Linked DNA regions of Mus musculus: all the other regions are reported to be linked to region 1. The links are microRNA targets in miRTarBase. Many come from high-throughput screens and were not tested one by one. Region 1 holds a microRNA gene; each other region holds the end of a gene's coding sequence.

Region 1 (3,348 bases):
ATGGTAACATTTAGGTAATACCTTCGCAAAAGAAAACAACACAATCTACTATCAAAGCAGGCAGAGATGGTGTCCACAGGTCTAGATAAGAAATCTGTTTGCTAGCCATCACAACCCTCACAGCTTGCAGCTGTCTTCTCAGAGAGCAAAGGACTTACACATGTATGCTATTTATGACGACATCACCATAAACTTAAGTTCAGGTTCAAGCTAGAGTTCTAAGGTCAGGAAAAATGTATCATTTAAATCAATCACCAATGCCACTTTCAGATCTTATATACCTCCTTCAGAAATCTCCTTTCAAAGGCTGTCGCAATTTCTATTTTGGACAATTACAAATAAAAAACTATATTTACACTACTTAAGGCTATTTAGGTATGCTGCTCACTTTTAAAACATTACTGGTTTTGAAGAAATGAACACTTAGGTTTATTTCTCCAGCACCGAGGACGTGTTTTATTTTCAGTAACTGACCTGCTGCAGGCCACTTGAAAACTCTGGGCATGTACTTAGTTTAAGAACCATTGCCGAGCAAGCACAGGGCCCAACATGAAAGGAAAAGGGGGAGCAAGAAGAGGAACAGTTTTATGTTGTAGTTCATGTAAGGTGCTTTATTGTGCAGATATGGATGTGATTTTAAATTAAAGAAAATACATGTAAAAATAATGAGTAATAGTTGATTTATATAAAATGATACTCAATCTTAAGTACACAATACTTTGACAATATAATTTTATAATGTAATACTGCTGTTTTACACTGAAGTTTATTTTTAATAAAATGGGGGTAAAAAATCCAGATCGTATTTCAGCTATAAATAGCACATTATTGTTATTGTAAAACAGTATTTTAGATTATTACTGTGGAATTGAGGAGCACAAGACATAACAGGTATTAATTTCAAAACTAACCAAAATAATTAATAGAGGTTTACATCTAAGAATGAAGCAAATTTTACAAGTTAAAAAAATTCCAGTAAGTATGTAAAAGAAATAACCAAAGAGTAGTTAGTGGACAGTGGAAAATTTAGAAGTCAACAAACCAAGGAAAGAAGTGTGAGACAACATAGGGGTAAATATAAAGGAAGTGAAGGTCAAATAATTTCTTCAAACTTATAGCCGTTCCCTGGGAAATACTGCTAGTTTCCCTGGGACACAGCTGGGTTACTTACACTAAATGTTTTCAGTTTACCTATTAAAGCAATGTTGCTCAGTTCCAGACCCTGGGGCTTCAGTGTTAGTCAACCAACTCCTCATGCCTGGCATGACTAATTGAGTTTTCTCACTTGGTGTCTTTATGTATGAGAAAAACTGACTTCTAGTCACCTATCTTTCCAGCCATCAGCATGGCCAGCACATATGGAATGGAATACTCTTTCAGTATGAACTCCTGTTAGTAAGACTAATGATATTAACTGGGAGAATAGAAGCTGTCATTTCTACAGTAATGAAACTGCTGTTTCAAAGAGTGTGCTTTACAAGGTAAAGATGCTGTCTATTTCTCTTTTTAAGGTGTCTCATTCCTATAATTTAAATGAACATTCACATTAAGCCATAAGAAAAATACAGACTAACAAAAAAGGCAAATTAGAAACTATGTCTTTCAGGGATCTGTGCTAGGCTTCCCATTCTGAAATTGTCTTCATAAAGAATAGAATTTGGTGTACTATTTTAAAGGGAGATGAGTTACTTTATCAGTTTAGTTAAAAGGAAAATCTCAATCAAGACTTTATAGTAGATCAAGCAAAAGAAAGCAAATATACTTTTCAAGTTACCTGAGGCAATGTTTTAGATACTATATTAAGGTGAAAATCATTACTTCATGAAATACTAAACCAAGAAGGGGTAGGTGGTTTAATTCAAGCACTATGAAACATGAATTAATGCTCTACTTTGGATTTTACTTCCTCTCTTTTCAAATAATTTAGTTACATTAACACGATGTTTTTGGTGTGTGTGAATTGACCTAAAAAAAAAAAAACCTACTCTGAGATTTGATAAATAAAAGTAGATTAAAGAGCCTACTTTTTAAAATAATTTTTGAAGCACTGTCTTATTTGTTTAAAAAAAATACATAATATATTTCTTTGCTTAGCTTAAAAATACTGTTATATTTTTTGAGTACATATATTGCATATTCTATGCACAGGAAGAACACTTCTGTGGTTTTGAAGTTGTTTAATTTATCTTTTCCACCCAAGCTTTGTAAAAATAAATCAAAGAGAAAGCAAGGTATTGGTTTCAGCCAACAAGATAATTACTCCTTGAAGTTGGAGGCAGTAGGCAGCTGCAAACATCCGACTGAAAGCCCATTTGTGGCTTCACAGCTTCCAGTCGAGGATGTTTACAGTCGCTCACTGTCAACGTTGATATGCCTTCTTCAGCATTCTGTCTTACTGACCTGAGAAGTGCTCTGCGGGAGTTTCTGAAATGTACAGGCAACATTCTGTAAACTGCAAAGCCTCGATGCCCTAGAAATATAACTAAAGTTTATGTAAGATATAGTTTATATGTTTCAGAAACATTTATTATTCATCTACTAAGTGTCAAACACATTTATGAAAACACGAATAAATAGCTTTCACCCATTACTGTTGGCCATAAGAAACAATCATGCAAGTGACTTACTAGGACTAGAACATGAGTAAGTTTATCGAAATCCTTTGAGAAAATTTAACAAGGAAAATGCTTCTATTATGTACAGAGCATTCAACATAAACACCAAAGTAGGGAAGCTTAAAACTATCAAATAAGAACAGGAAACAGACAGAACCAAGACTTACGTGCTGCTTTTACAGATCACCTTTGTTCTGAAATCTGCTTCCACAGAGGCTCTGTACAGTCAGCTGATGTTCCAAAGAGTAAGCAACAATCAGGAGGAAAGCAGAAAAGAGCAAGGAGGTGCAGGTTTGCATGCATCTCTGCGGATCAGAGTTTCCCACTGGAAAAACACAGAACCTATCGCTGGCAGCAGGGGCTGGCAGCAGTGACGCACATTAACTCCACATCTGAATGTTCTGAATTCCACTCCCATTCTCTAATGAAAATAAATGAGGAAAACGGAAGGTTAAGCTCTATCAGTCACTACTTTTCCTGAAGTAATTCAAAACCCTTCTGAGTCTAGTGAAAGATTAAGCTGGTACAGAGAAGTGGGTGTGCCTTCCCCTGAGATTTGGTTTTAGATGAAGTTACCACAATTTTAGTTGCCAACGCCTTAGGGATTTTATGATTAAAAAAAAAAATCCCCACAGAGAGCTTCATGTTTGTGGAAACTAACAAATGTGATGAGCTCCATAAATTTCTTTTTCAAAGCAAGGGACAGTTCTATCCCGTTATGGTTAAGAAAGTT
Region 2 (3,348 bases), not on the chromosome of region 1:
CCCTCCCGCCTCCACCCTTGATTCTCTCACTTCTCCTTGGCTAGTTTGGCTGCCTGCCTTCTCCTAGAGACAGCCTTTTCTCCTCACGTTGTCAAAAGCTGCACATTTCTGTGAATAACCCTTTGCAGTCCCCACCCCAGTTCTTCCCACAGAAGGCTGTCTGTCTGTCTACTCGGCCCCAGGCTTAGAGAGGTTCCTTCTGGGACAGCTGTGTCCTCTCTCCCATTTACTGGGGTCCAGGACCAGTCCCAAGGAAGCGAGGAAGGCCCCAGGCTGGGTGGGCAGTAAACTACCCAGCCACCATAGCCCTGGCCCGAGCCCTTTGTCACCTGCTATGCCACCTCCATTCCTTCTCCTAGCTCTAGTCTCTGCCCTGCCAGGCGGCCTATGGGACCTTGGTCCCAGCTGCTGTCTCTAAGCCCCTTGGCTGCATTCTGGGCTGAGGTTCCAGAGAGGCCCTGATCTCCCTCTCCTCCTGGCTTTCTAGTGCCCCCAGCCACATGGTCTTTCTCAGGACAGCTTCTCCCAGCCCCACAGCCTACTTCCCCTCCCCCAGGATTCTCCCATCCCTCTTCCTCCACCTCCATCCTTCCCATCCTCCTCCTCCCTCTCTGGAATGTCAACCCTCCCGAGGGCTCTGGATGCCTTGGTGGGAACCCTGCCTGCTGCTCTCAAGTCTTCCCGGCCTCTCATTCCATCCTGGCACTGCTGCAGGCGAGCAGTGTGTTTAATTGCTTGTTTGTTTTCTGTCTCCCCGACTAGAACAGAGTTCCTGAGCACAGTGACTCTTCACAGGGACTGGCACACCCCGGCTCACAGTACCCACTGAATGACTGAAGGAATGTTTCCTCACAGCCTCTCCAGAGACAGGCACTGTTGCCTCGGATTTCTAGAGGCAGAAACTGGGGCCGAGAGCAGAGAGACTCTTGCTTGCTTCTGGCAGCGAGAGGTGAGAGTCAGGGCCAGGAGCCAGGCCTACCTGACTCCCAGCACGCTCAGAACCAGGCTGACCAAGTCCTAGGCACTAGACCTGGGGCCAGGCCCTCAGCGCTGAGTCTGGTCCTGGAGGCCCATCCCATCCCTCCAGGCCCGGGGTGAAGTCACTCACTGTTCAACCTATGTGGAGGAACCTCCTGGGGACACAGTAGGCCTTCAGCTCGTTGATGCCCAGCCCCCAATACCACCTCACCAACCTCCCCTTCAGGGAGGCCTGCCACAATTTGGCGATTGTTAGAGACTTTTTTTTTTCCTTTTGGGAGGAAAGCTGTAAGTCATTAGGCTGTTCCCGCCTGCGGGTCACCATTTCCTGTTTAGAAGACTCATCTCTCCTTTGGAGCTGGAAGCTCCCCACCCCCCAGCCGGGTTGGAGCTGGGCTGGCTGAAGCTCCCAGCCGACGCCTGCTCAGCTCCCCACAGGAAACTGGCACCTTCATCACCTTTTGTGCTTAGAAAGGACACTCATTTTCTCTCGAGCCCCAGGAGGCCCTCAGAGTTGAGGTCACCAGCACCAACTAGCCTGAGGTAAATTGCTCCAGCCCTGGTCCTCCAAGCAGGAAGCTGTATGACCCCTACCCTTTGGCCTGGCTTCTCACCCTCCTGGCTCCAGCCAGCCCATTTCCTTGCATCAAAGACCATTTGGTACCCAGCAGCCAGACAGAGGTGTGGGCCTGCCTGACAGGGAGGCGCTTGGGAACAGGAAAGACATCCTCCCTTCAGCTGGGAGGGGCAGCTAGCTCTGCCCCAAAGACCTGCTATGGTGGAGCCAGAGCTCCTGGCCAGGCTGTGGCTAAGCCCCACAAAGCACCTTCCCAAGAGAGCCCGAAGAACTAAGAGTTCAGGAAGCTTGCACTGTACCAGAGTGGGACAGATACCAGGCCAGGCAGCCCAGGCCCCAAAGTTCACGACTAGTTAGAACTCCAAAGCACAAGACTTAAGGCCCTGCCCCTCCCTCCTGGAAGTCCCTTTATGGTGCCCCCACCCCAACACTGAGCACTTTTTAGTATATAAATTAACCATTTTATTGAATATCAATAAACTGTACATATTAACTATACAAAATGCTGCTTACAATATAAATACCTTTAAAATGTAAACATCTTTCTCCCGGGGCCACCTGTTGGGCCCCAAAATAGTTCTGGGAGACACATTGGCCAGGCTGAAGCACCCCACTTGGCCCCTAACAAGTGATGGCCATTATTCATGGTCCCTTCTGAGACAGTTAAACTGCTGTGAAACAGGTGTCACCAGGACAAATGGGGGCGGGGGCTGAAACAGTTGCCCAGGCCCAGGGGCACCTGGACATGTGTCCAGTAACCACCCTGCTGAGGCATGGTTACAGCTGGACGGGGTGGGGGGGAGGGGAACTATTGCATAGTCTGTTGTACCTCAAAGAAGGTGGCCTGAAGGGTCCTTGAGGGAGGTAGGGAAGTGGGGTCCCCTGAGCGGGGTTCAAGCTTCCCAGCCAGTGGGTTGGCTTTAGTTCTATGGCTCGAAGCAGCTGTGTCCAGAGGCTACACCTCATGAATACTGAGGGGTAGGAGGCTCTGGGCGGGTACAAAGGCACTCCATCAGCCACCTGCGGCAAAGGCCACCAAGAGAGCCAAGCAGGAACCAGGTCCAGACATGGACGCCACAGGTCCCCGGACCAAGGCTGGAAGGAGTCCTGGCAGTGAGGAGGAGGGTGAGCTCCGGGAAGATGCCAGCGAGGATGGGGAGGTAGCAGGGTCAGCGAGGGCCTCCGGAGCAGCCAGACTCTTGGTGCTTGTGGAGCAAGGACATGCGGGAGAAGGTTCGGGCACAGGCCTGGCACTGGTATCTCTTCACATCCGAGTGGGTTTGGAGGTGGGCACGCAGGTTGGAGCGGTCAGCAAAAGCACGGTTGCAGTGGGAGCAGGAGAATGGCTTCTCACCTGGGGAGAGATACCAGCAGGGTTAGGAAGGCCTGGACAGGGCCCGGTCAGCCCAAGCACAGCCAGACCTGCACTGGATGCGGGTCTCTGGGCTTCCTGCTGTGCAGCCCTGAACACCACCAGACTGCTGAGTCTCCAAACTCCAGGCGGGGCTCACTGAAACAAAGTCCTTCCCACCTGGCAGGCACTGAACACTTCTGATTGACCTGTCATCTGTCCCTTCTGCAGTCCTATTAGAGGTGGGGAAACTGAGGCACAGAGGTACGCAGCAGGCTCTAGGTCACCCACCATACCTCCATAGCCCGGGTTGTAGTCACTGCCTCAGGCAGGGGAGCTGCGACTGGACTTCCTATTACCAGCCTTGAATTTACTTTGATTTACTTTGTCTGGGACAAAGCTTGAGAGGCAGCCTGGAGAGGCCTCCCCACCCCCACCCAGA
Region 3 (3,000 bases), not on the chromosome of region 1:
AGTCACTCTAGAGGGACAGATGTATCCTGGCAAAGGAGGAGGAAGCAAGGAGAAAAATAAAACAAAGCCAGAGAAGGCTAAAAAGAAGGAGGGAGATCCCAAACCACGTGCTTCCAAGGAAGACAATCGAGCTGGGAGCAGAAGAGAAGACCTTTAGCAGGTGGCAAGCTTCCCGCCAGGTAGGCAGGACCAGATAGCCCCTCGCAGACTGGTGGGGCAGGTGGTGCAGGAAACTGCATAGCAGATGACATTCTCATGTCCTCTAGAAATGGTCTGTGTATGACCATCTGGTCAATATCACAGTTACCGTATAAAAGGCTTCCCATGTGAAGGCAGGATTTGTGATTGGTAGTGGACTGGCAAGTCATGTCTACTGTGGCTTCACCTGACTTTGGAAACTTGATGTTTTGTACCTTTTATTTCTCTTGAGTCCATGACACCCCCAGAGTACCACTCCCTCCTCAGTGCACCTGCTGTGGTCCCATGGCCTGTTGTATCTGTGTATTACAAGCTCAAGTCAGACAAGCCTTGAGAAGCTTCAACTTGACTGAAGCGCGGGTATTGATTGTTCAGTGAGTGAAGATAACTGTGCCGTATGGGCAGTGCTGTGTTCAGTGAGTGAAGATAACTGTGCCGTATGAGCAGTGCTGTGTTCAGTGAGTGAAGATAACTGTGTCGTATGAGCAGTGCTGTGTTCAGTGAGTGAAGATAACTGTGCCGTATGAGCAGTGCTGTGCGCCCAGGATCTGGACAGCAAACTCGTTATGCAGAGTGGGCAGATTCACGACAGTGCCGTCCAGAACTTCTCATCGGTTCTGGGGAATCTTTGTCTCCCCGTCTCCTGGAGTTGAAGAGGGAATGCGCTTGTTCATCGTGTGAGGAAAGAAGGATGCTTCCACTGAGGGCCCACGTTCTGCATAGCCCAACAACTATAAAGTTGGCGAGGAGGGACCAGCAGAGTCTTGCATAGGAGTGGACCTCATCTACAGTATTTCTAAGCGGTTTCCTTTGATGAAGTGCCTAAACTTGTGCTTTTGTATGGTACTCTCATGATGTGCTGCTGTTCACATCTGTTTCTGCTGTTCATAGGTTGAAGCTTCGCTAAAAGAACATTTCTATGAGGATGCCATTTTTAAGAACTCACATTCTTTTAAAACCTCAGTTGTGGTTTGAAATTCGAAATAGTACATGTACACGTACCCGGCTAGAAATTGTCACTGTTAAGAGTGTCACAGTGTGAAGAATTGCCCTACCCTGCTGCCAGTACTTTGTCCCAGTGAAGCTACTGTTGGTCATTGGTTTTTCAAAAATAAAGTACAATTACCAGCTTCCAGTGATAGGTATATTCTGTCCTCCAGTGATGGGTATATTCTGTCCTCCAGTTGGTTTCCGTTCATGTTTCTCTTACCAAGCCACACCTCCCTCCCCAGCTCAGGGCGTCCTGGACACAACCTGCTGAGCCTCTTCAAAAAGAAGCTTTTTTTGGTCCTCGCACCTTGTGACTTGTGATGATCTGCTGCTGTCCTGTTTGAGGGTGCTGCCAATCTAGGAGAAGCTGGGACAGGGCACTCATCCTTTTGGTATCTGTGGGCCCAGCAAATCTGAAACAAGCCCCGTTCCTGGGGTTTTTCTGTTTTCACATGGGGCAGTTGATTGGCTACTGTCATGTCTAGCCATGATGCTCTTTTCTCAGGGCTGCCGTTTCCTTCTGGAAGCCTTCATGATGCTGACACGGGACTGTCATGGCTTTGAGTGTGGTGTGCAGCCTCTTCACCAGGTTCATGCATCACCTGTGATGTAGTTGTCACTGGTGGGTTCTGAGGACAGTGCAGGCATGGCAGGAATGACTGACTGTGAGGAGAAAGGAAGAAATGCATAATGCAGTGAACTGAATGGGCAGAGCTTTGTTGGGAGGTCAAGGGAGTTCCCTTTGCAAAGGCCCTGAGGCTAGAAGTAGTAGACAAGGGTGCTCTTGGAGGCCCCTGAGGAGTCTGGACTGGGGAGTGAGGACTCTAGGAGGCTGTTGGAATTTTGAGTGCCTCAGGGATTTTGCGTAGTACTGACAGGAGAGCTTCTCCGGACTCAGGCCTTTAGTCAGTCTCTCGGGTTTACAGGCAGAGAGGCTTGAAGCAGCCTTCGGTTCATGCTTTCTGCTGTTTCTGATTTCTGGCTGTGTATTCTGAGCTGGGATAAACAGATTCTCCTCTCCAAACACTTATTTGCTACTAGAAACGAAATTGGCACATTAAGCCTCCTTTTATTACAGTTCAAGAATTTGAACTCCAGATTGATCGATTTACCCTCCCTGATTTTTGACAGTCCCTAAACTGCCTCGTGTTGTCACATTTCTTCAAATTCTTGGGTTCGAGTTTCTAAAGCACAAGAAGCCAGGAGGCCCTACTGCTGCTTTTTATGAGTCAAATCAAGTAGAATGAAAGTCTATTAAAGTCACTTGTACCCAGACTACAGATTCCTTATAGTGGTACTAAGGAGGAAAAGCAGGTATGGTGTTGAATGCCTGTAATCCCAGTGTTTGGGAGGGAGAGATGGGAGGATCAGCCAGGCCAGGTTACTTAGTTGCAGGATAGCCTCAGCTACGTCTGAAACTCACGCTCCCCATGCTCCCCCCCCCCCAAAATAACCCCCAAAACAAAAAGGACTAAATGCAAAAGAAACTAGTCACAATTCTTGGTGTATGGCCTTTTCTTCAGAGGAGCCCTCTTAGCCTCCTCCATAAAATTACCAGCAGGGAAGGCTAACACTGCCATCATTGCACTGTAGTCTCCTGTTCTCAGGAGGACGGCCCCTGTTACAGCAACTGCAGGGGCATCTGGACAGCACAACTGCTTCAGTCCAGTGTCCCCTGGGACCACTGGCTTCTAGCTCTCTTTCAAGTGAGGACAGTCTGCTCCTTGGCCAGCCATCTGTCCATGGGGAAGCTACCTCAGGGCTCCTGGGAGCTCCACCACTGGAAATCGTTTCTGAGCAGACCTCATGCAA

The links. Region 1 holds the annotated microRNA mmu-miR-30a-5p (UGUAAACAUCCUCGACUGGAAG, at 2,327-2,348, opposite strand). A microRNA usually pairs through its seed, bases 2 to 8, with sites in the 3' UTR of a target mRNA and lowers its output. Matches are read on the target gene's strand: a 7mer-m8 pairs with bases 2 to 8, a 7mer-A1 pairs with bases 2 to 7 and ends in A, and an 8mer does both.
Region 2: the mRNA of Snai1 is a reported target of mmu-miR-30a-5p. Seed matches in the 3' UTR shown: 8mer at 2,088-2,095.
Region 3: miRTarBase lists Mesd as a target of mmu-miR-30a-5p. Seed matches in the 3' UTR shown: 7mer-A1 at 2,107-2,113.

Annotation. Positions count from the first base shown.
Region 1 is chr1:23,271,274-23,274,621 of GRCm38, reverse strand. It overlaps Mir30a (microRNA 30a), which reads right to left and starts at 2,353; the gene lies at 2,283-2,353.
Region 2 is chr2:167,541,460-167,544,807 of GRCm38, reverse strand. Snai1 (snail family zinc finger 1) reads right to left here. Exons shown (of 3, transcript NM_011427.3): 3 at 1,994-2,909. The coding sequence ends at 2,725. Among named protein-coding and RNA genes, the nearest start is that of Snai1, 4.9 kb to the right of the region's middle.
Region 3 is chr7:83,897,849-83,900,848 of GRCm38, forward strand. It overlaps Mesd (mesoderm development LRP chaperone), which reads left to right. Exons shown (of 3, transcript NM_023403.4): 3 at 1-2,463. The coding sequence ends at 157. Among named protein-coding and RNA genes, the nearest start is that of Mesd, 7.1 kb to the left of the region's middle.